2 linked regions of the Daphnia pulex genome follow. The protein of the gene in region 2 purifies or fractionates together with the protein of the main gene of each other region. This does not show direct contact. Links are inferred from orthologs where the notes say so. Each region holds a gene or a part of one and is shown on either strand. Other genes may lie near its edges.

The links. Proteins that work in one complex are often made in the same cells at the same time.
Region 1: the proteins of iron-sulfur cluster assembly 2 homolog, mitochondrial-like (region 2) and putative transferase CAF17 homolog, mitochondrial purify together in Homo sapiens (co-immunoprecipitation; 4 studies listed by BioGRID and IntAct, with this or other methods). This does not show direct contact. The link is inferred for Daphnia pulex from reciprocal best matches to the Homo sapiens genes ISCA2 and IBA57.

The regions. Positions count from the first base shown.
Region 1 is NC_060028.1:2,206,723-2,210,916, reverse strand, and holds putative transferase CAF17 homolog, mitochondrial, read right to left. Parts: upstream 1,758-4,194; coding exon 645-1,757; 3' UTR 562-644; downstream 1-561. Other genes in the region: RNA-binding protein 34-like, read left to right, coding at 1-78; cysteine-rich DPF motif domain-containing protein 1-like, read right to left, coding at 120-533; unc-112-related protein-like, read left to right, coding at 2,421-2,562, 3,385-3,905, 3,992-4,194. UniProt on the Homo sapiens protein: Mitochondrial protein involved in the maturation of mitochondrial [4Fe-4S]-proteins in the late stage of the iron-sulfur cluster assembly pathway. Operates in cooperation with ISCA2 in the maturation of [4Fe-4S] proteins.
Region 2 is NC_060017.1:2,842,400-2,846,493, forward strand, and holds iron-sulfur cluster assembly 2 homolog, mitochondrial-like, read right to left. Parts: upstream 1,838-4,094; 5' UTR 1,783-1,837; coding exon 1,529-1,782; intron 1,470-1,528; coding exon 1,295-1,469; 3' UTR 1,182-1,294; downstream 1-1,181. Other genes in the region: RNA-binding protein 25-like, read left to right, coding at 1-23, 89-401, 472-591, 656-801, 867-1,013, 1,079-1,174; dihydrolipoyllysine-residue succinyltransferase component of 2-oxoglutarate dehydrogenase complex, mitochondrial-like, read left to right, coding at 2,067-2,159, 2,309-2,432, 2,496-2,567, 2,771-2,932, 2,999-3,234, 3,298-3,467, 3,529-3,727, 3,795-4,046. UniProt on the Homo sapiens protein: Involved in the maturation of mitochondrial 4Fe-4S proteins functioning late in the iron-sulfur cluster assembly pathway. May be involved in the binding of an intermediate of Fe/S cluster assembly.

The sequences.
Region 1 (4,194 bases), on a different chromosome or scaffold from region 2:
ATAGTAAAAAGAAATAAGGAGGAGCAGCGGAAGAAAATAATTGCCGCCAAATTGGCTTTCGTTAACAAAAAGAAGTAATCAGAATAATAATAAAAAACGAAGTTTTTCCTCTTCTCGAATTATTGGCTTTTATTAGTTTTCAATTCGTGAATCTTTTTCTGCACCTCGACGGGAAAATGTTGCACGTTTTTGTTGGCGCATTCGCCACAAAATCGTTTAGAATAAAACAGGCTGCAATTGGCGCAAACTAGTCGTTGGCATGCTGAGCAGGGAGCTCCAAGGAAGAAATAGAGATTTTGGGCGTATGGAACAAATGGATCTCGCATGACGTATGCGTCCTCGTTGAAGTTTATTCCGCGGGCGAAAGGAAGACTTGTGCCGTGACCGTGGTAACGCTCTGACCAGCCGCACAAGGCACACTGAAATTGACCACCTTCTTCGATTTGTTCTGCTTTCTTTTCTTCCTTGGGTTTCACGATTTCACCAAGTTCTTCAGTCGGTTCCTGCTTCACCACTGGATCAATCCTGTCCATCTAAGGATAAGTGAAAAATCAAAAGTGGAACAGAGAAAAACATTGTATTGTAACAAATTGAAATGCCAAACACATGTAAAATGTATCTATTGTGGGGGTAGTCTTTTTATTTTAAGAGCTAGATTCAAGTTGGGCGCGATCTTTGGGCGCTTCAATGGGCCACCAAGCCGGTCGGTGGGTTTCGATTAGATTCGAGTCGATTTTCAATTGAGAAGAAGAGAGGGCTTGTTGTATCCGCAAGAGGCCGAGACCGTAAACTGATCCGTGAAGATATCCTCGTAGTTTTCCCACCCGTTGTCCGTTTTCATCAGAAATGGTCGATTCTAACTGGATGGAATCGGAAGGCTGTTGGAAGACAACCGGCATCAAACGTTTTCTGGTTACACCCGTGTGGTAAGTCCTGGCCGTAAGTTCCTGTCCCAAGTAGCACCCTTTATGGAAGCTGACGCCGTGCAGGTAGTCGCAATTACATTCGAGTGGGAAACATGTGCCGGGTGGCATATCTCGAGAGCCTTCTCCCACACCAAGTTTATATCTGAGTTCAGTGTATCGATCAGTGTTGTCCACGCAGAGATTCTTTATTAGGTGACTTAGACTTTTGTTGGAATCAACCAACACTCGCCATCCCAGTTCCTTGACTCTGGGATCTCGGGCTAAAATGACTTCATTACTGAGATCTTCGGGGGGCTGATCAAAGAGAACCCAAGGCTTCAGTGTTTCCTCTACAGAGATAACCACCTTCCTTCTGACTCTGAACATGGTGAGGTGTTTTGCTAGAGATTCCGAGCACTCTGCATCACATTCAATCAGGTAGCTGCCAGATTCTTTTGAAGAGTGGATGATGGCATCGTAAAGTATTCTTCCCTGCCGGTTGAGGAACATGCAGTACATGTTGGGATTGTTATCTTCGTCCAAGTGTTTGATATCGTTTGTCATAAGACCCTGAAGGTACGGACCGGCATCCACTCCAGAAACTTTGACGATTGCCCTTCCTTTGAGTTCCTGTGCGTTTACTGTGCATTTCTGGTGAACGCGTCGAACCGAACTAGCGGCCACCGATCTCAGAGCAACTGCTTGAATAGACCGCCACATGGACGAAACTTTTGGTAGAAGGGGAGTTAAAATTGTTATCGTACCTTGCAGAGAGAGATTGAGCTCGATTGTTGAGCAAGTCGTGGTCGATTCGATTTGTTTACAACTAAAATGTAGGAACTCCAGCGCCATCTGACGGTGCTTGAAAATGTTAGAAAATCTCCTAATCTAGTCGATCTAGTCCAAGGTTTTTTATTTTTGTTTATCAGGAGATCGAGATTGCTTTCATCAGTGCGATATTGAGATTATAATGGAATGGAATTCAAGGCAGTAAGTATGAATGTAAGCTCTCAACAAACTATTATATTATTTTGATTCACTTTTTTTTACGTTTCGTGATCGATTAAAAGTTTGAATCGATTGTTTAGATCTGGAAGTGGGATTTTAGGGTACCAAGGCGTTAGTTACACGACTCTCTCATACCGAGTCTGGATGAAACGTCGACTTGGTCTTACGGCCATCTGTTTATATTCCAACACTATTCACACACAAGGGTTGATTCGCCCCCTGAATAAGTGATCACCTCGACTGCGTCAAGATGTCAACTAGTGATTGAACAATTTTGGAACTGTTCATTCTGTCTGAAAAAGCCATCGAACTATTTGAGTGTGTGTGTGTGTGTTTGGTGTTGGAAAGGAGAAAAGAGTTGTGTGTGTGTGTGGGTTGCCCCGTTTGTGTTGCCCATGTTTGGTCACGGACGGGCATCGCCTCTCTCTTGGAAATTATTGTTTGGTGCTCTAAGCTACAGGTGCTCTGCTGCTGCCTTGTGAGAGAGAGAGAGAAGAAAAATTCAAGATGATTGCCGACGGACATTTGGTCGGTGACGGGAGCTGGGAATTGAAGGTGTTGGTGACTGACTTGTCGGTCGAGCGATGTCTCCGGGTCAAAGGTGACCTGCACATTGGTGGTGTTATGCTGCGTCTCGTCGAGGAATTAGGTATGCAATTATTTGTTGTCCTTGTTTGCCCATATTTGGGGATTCAACTGCGAGGCTGACATCATCACGCCCCAATTTCCCAGGCGTCTGTTTGCTTGCATTTAAAAGACATTATGGGGGGAGCCATCTTGTCCACATCTGAAATGAGTTCTTGGTCGCCCACTAGCAGCTACTAGTGCTCCCTCTGTCGGCCCAGTCTAGCGCAGACAGGAAAGAAAAAAGGCGGCATTTAAAAATAGCCTCCCCTCGCGTCACTCTCTCTTACAATGGATCTCTCTTGAAAAATAAAATAAAAACCCCTCTGAATATAAATATATTAAAAAATCAAATAAAATCCGACAAGTCCTAGAAAGGTTGCACTCCTCTCTCTTTGATTCCGCCGTTGGCAAAGGCTATAAGCGAAATAGGGCGGGCGATTGGAATGCACAGTCTGGTGATCGGTATTCTCATCACGTCAAGGATCACTTGAATGTTTATTTTTGAAAAAAAGTTAGTTTGTTGGAAACACCGTCAGCAGCTTGTGTTATGTGCACATATCGCGGTTCGGCGTAACATCCGGATGATTTTACCCAACCACAAACGTCTCTGATTTCAGAAACGAAATTATTCAGGACGACGCCCTTTTTTTGGCCACCATGACCCATTTCATTTCCGCCCCATATACACCACCACCACCACCCACCTGAATGTGTGTGTAATTTCACGCCCAACATCACGTGATCACAGTGATGGATGTTTTGGAATAATCAAAATTTATGACCCCCCACCAGTCTATTTTATATTCACATTTTGTTACATCTTATCTTCTTTTCGTATTTTTAGATATTGCGGCGGATTGGTCGGATCACGCTCTTTGGTGGCCAGCTCGGAACTGTTGGCTGTCCAGGACCCGTTCGACGCTGGATCAGTATGGCGTCCAGGCGGATGCTCTGCTGCATTTCACTCCCATGCACAAAACGCTGCGCGTCCAGCTGCCAGATTTGCGCTACTTGGATTGCCGGGTGGATTTCAGCGTCAAGACGTTCAACGCCGTCGTGACGCTGTGCAAGGAGCTCGGCATCCGGCATCCGGAGGAGCTGTCGTTCGCCAAGCCGCTCGAGTCTGACGATTTGCGCTACAATTATCGCGAACGCGAGTCCAACACGTCGCACAAGAAGCGGACGGTGGCCAACAATTCGGCCGACACCAACACGTTCATCGGTCACCACGGCAATTCGACTCACAGTTCCAACAACAGTTTGGACAACATTAAGGCCACCTCCGGATGTACGCCCGTCCTGCCCAACACGACCATCAATCGGTCCCCGGCTCCCGTACCCACGCCCATCAGCTCACCAGTTAATGTGAGTTGTTGTTGCCATGTATATTTTTTCACGTTTTTTGTCTTCATAATAATAATACTAATCATCATTATTTTCTCATCCATCAGTCGGGCACGTGGAGAAAGAATTCACCGTATTCGACTCCGGGCAGCAACGGCCACAATGCGACACCATCCATCTTTGACATGACTGCCAACAACAGCCTCAACACGACGGCCAACAGCAGTTTCTCCAATATGGATATGTCGCTGGCGCTCAGTCCGGCCACACCCAGCCAGGAGGCCCGATCCAGGCTTCTTCGACCCAAAAA
Region 2 (4,094 bases):
ATCCAACAGCAACTCTTAAACAGGTAAGAGAGGGAAAGCTCAAAGTTTCACGAATGTATGATGTAAAACCTCTTCTGAATTTTCCTAGGCTCTTTACGAAAGGGAACAACAGTACAAGCCTCAGATACTCGTGCCAGCACCTCCTGTTAGTGATGCTCCCCGCTCTTTCTCTCCCATGGACGTGTCTCTACCATCACAACCATCGGACGTGGAAGATTTCCAGTTGACGAAAGATGTCAATTCCACCACGCCCGTCTCATCAGCTCCATCCACTCCAACCGGACCAGAACCTAAAACAATTAGCTCTAGTGTTGCGAGCAGTGTCATTGCCATGGAAGAGGATTCCATGTCAACAACGAATTCCTTAAGTCCTCTTCCAACTGAAAGTGACAGCAAACAAGGTACGATAATTGGCCATCGATTGCCCAACCAACATATGTATAACTAATTGTTTCTCTTTCTGTATTACAGGATCACAGGGACCCAGTTTAGTATTCAATAAGCGGAAAAAGCTGGAAATCAAAGCCGTTTTCAATGCTGATGAAGACGATACAGACACGACCAAGAAGAAACGGAAACTTGTACCTCTTGGTAACATAATCAGATATTTTCTTTTCCGTAACATTTCTGTTTTAATTAATTTCTTTTCCAATAGACTATGGCGATGAACTTGCTAAAAAGGAAAAAGAGCCCAAGAACACAGAGGAGAAGAGAAAAAATATCAAGAGTCTTATCGAGAAAATTCCAACGGATAAAGCATCCCTCTTTGCTCATCCTGTTGAGTGGAGCTTAGTGGACAATGTAAACAATGAACAAGTACGCGTTGTCGAATAACCACTTAAATTCTTGTTTTATTTTCTCCATAGGTGATAATGGAGCGGCGGATTAAACCGTGGGTCAATAAAAAGATCGTGGAGTACATCGGAGAGCCCGAGCCTACTCTAGTTGAATTCATTTGTTCCAAAGTATTGATAGGAAGCCAACCACAAAATATCATCAATGATGTTCAGATGGTAAGGTCTTAATTTCTATAAATTCTAAAATGTAATTCCTATTTTAACAATTTTATTTTTATTAGGTACTTGATGAAGAAGCAGAGGTCTTTGTTGTCAAGATGTGGCGCTTATTGATCTATGAATTAGAAGCAAAGAAATTGGGTCTCATGACTAAGTGAAAAGGGGTGATTGCATTGGGTCTCTATTTTGCAATTGGTTGTTGTTACATTCACCCCATATTATGTACAACTAATTACACAGCAATTTGACAAAAACACTGCTTTGAATAGATTTTTAAATCAAACTTTGAGAGAAAATGAAGCACCACATGAACAACCACTTTCAGCTTTGGGGTTCTTCAATATGTGGAAGGCAGAGCGGATCAACTCAGACTGGAAATCAATTGTTGCTCCTTCAAGGTATTGCATGGAATCTTTGTCAATAAAGACTCTCGCACCATCTCTTTCAACCACACTGTTTTAATGAAAACTGTCAAAAATTATGTTGATTTAGTTTAGTTTTTAAGTACAAACCAGTCATCTTCATTTGCCGTGGTGTCCAAATTAAACAAGTACTGAAATCCCGAACATCCTCCTCCTTCTACCGATATCCGAAGCGTTTTCTCTGGGGATTTTTTATGCAGTTCCTTCAATCGTTGGACGCACTTATCCGTCATCTTTATAGATCCTTGTACGGTATCCATTTGAACAGCATTGTTTAAAGATGAGAATGCCGAAATATGTGATGGGAATCTGGTTAACCGGTTTACTAATGCCGCATAAAACATTGTTATTGTTTAGCAGAAATATCACGTAACAATACGAAAACGAAACGAATTCAGACGAAAAAAAGCACAACCACAGTTGCATTTTACTTTTATTTTGAAAAACTCGTCATAAAATTCTTAATTCCCGGTTTATTCATACACGAAGATAAAATAACGTTTTTAATTCTAAAATTTTAATTTAAAATTTTGAAGGAGAGTTTTTATATTGTTTTTAAAGTTAACCAGCAAAGTCAAATTTCATTCGCAACTAACATCAAGATCAGCCGAAGTCGAACAGAAAAATCATGGCTGCTCTACGTCTCTCCCTAGGCTCTTCGAAGCAAATTGCAAAAGTATTTCGTGGCAATTTCAGAGTTTCGGCTTGTTTCAAACATCAGGTTATACATGTTTATATAAGAGTAAATAATAAAATAAAAATGTGTCAATGAAGTTCCTTGTACCTTGGATGATTTTGCCACATCCTGTTGGTTACTTTCATCTTACAATTAATTTAATGATATTTCTTCTTATTTGTTTTTTATCTCAGGAAACATGTGAAATTGGTATTCAAGAGCCTAGCTACCTGTCCATCCAACAGCGAAATGATGTGAGGTGCCAATGGAATCCAATCACAGTTTTCAGTCGAGGATTCAGAACTTCTGCAGTACTAGGTGAAATTCACTAGTTCCAAATGGCAATAAATAGTCATAATAATAAAAAAATACTTTTTTTAGGAGATGCGAAAACTGTGATGGTACCACCATTTGCAGACTCCATCAGTGAGGGTGATGTAAGATGGGATAAAGGTATGCTTCTTCCAGAGAGTATTGGTACAACTGTATTAGTAGCACAGAAATGATCTTTGAGTGAAAATGTCAATCTTGAAGCTTAATTTCAGTATTTTCAAGTCAAAGATTTCAAATCATTTTGCGTCCTTTTTTTTCAACTTGATAGACTTGCACCTGTGGATCTTATGGTGTTTTTCATAGAATGTTTTTGTTTTCTTTAGCTGTTGGTGATACAGTCCAAGAAGATGAAGAAGTATGCCATATTGAAACGGACAAAACATCGATCCCGGTTAAAGCCCCTTGCAGTGGGGTCATTACTGAGTTGTGCGTTAGTGATGGTGCTACTGTTCAACCCGGAGCTAAACTCTTTATTATGAGTGCAGGTAACTATTATGCTACCAGAAAATTTCTACATTTTTAAAATAAATTTAAACCGTTTCTTAATCTAGGAGGTGCTGCCAAAGCTGCTGCTCCCGCTGCTGCTGCTGCTGCTGCTCCTCCAACACCTTCACCAGCTGCTCCTGCTCCTCCACCGCCTACCCCTGCCGCCCAACCTGTTTCTGGTGCGATCCCATCAACACCTCCTCCTCGCCCATCCCCTCCAACAACCCCTATTTCTGCCATCCCAGCAGCAAGCATCCAACCTCGGGTTGCTGCTCCTGTTAACGTTACGCAGACGTCCCAAGTACGAATTAAATGTCATTCCCCCATCATTTTAACCTTTTTCTTAATTTTTTCTTATCTCTAGGCTGTTCCCCTAGCCCGTCTTCCACCTGCAGATTATAGCAAGGAAATTACTGGCACAAGAACCGAACAACGCGTTAAAATGAACCGCATGCGACTGCGTATTGCTCAGCGGCTGAAGGAAGCCCAAAATGTCAACGCTATGTTGACAACTTTTAACGAAATTGATATGAGGTAGTATGCCATTGTCTCTTGATGCCATAGGTGGATTAACGTATTTCGTTTAAATTCACAGCAACATCATGGAGCTGAGAAAAACACACGGTGACGCCTTCTTGAAAGTTCACAAAATCAAGTTGGGTTTCATGTCAGCTTTCGTCAAGGCCGCGGCTTGCGCCCTTGCTGATCAACCTACTGTCAATGCCGTCATCGACGGAAATGAAATCGTCTATCGCGATTACATCGACATATCTGTGGCGGTTGCCACACCAAAAGTAATTCTGCTACAGTTTAGCATTAAGAGTTAAATTATTAATAAATTTTTTTGTTTTAAATTTGAAGGGTTTGGTGGTGCCTGTTCTACGTAATCTAGATTCTATGAACTATGCTGACATTGAAAAGGCTATTGCCGCAATGGGTGAGAAGGCAAAGAACAACGCATTGGCTGTAGAAGATATGGATGGAGGTACTTTTACCATCTCCAACGGTGGAGTCTTCGGCTCATTATTCGGTACCCCAATCATCAACCCTCCGCAATCTGCTATTTTGGGCATGCATGGAATTTTTGATCGTCCCGTCGCACGCAATGGCCAGGTACGATAGACTAAAATTAATAACTAACGACTCATCAAAACAGATATC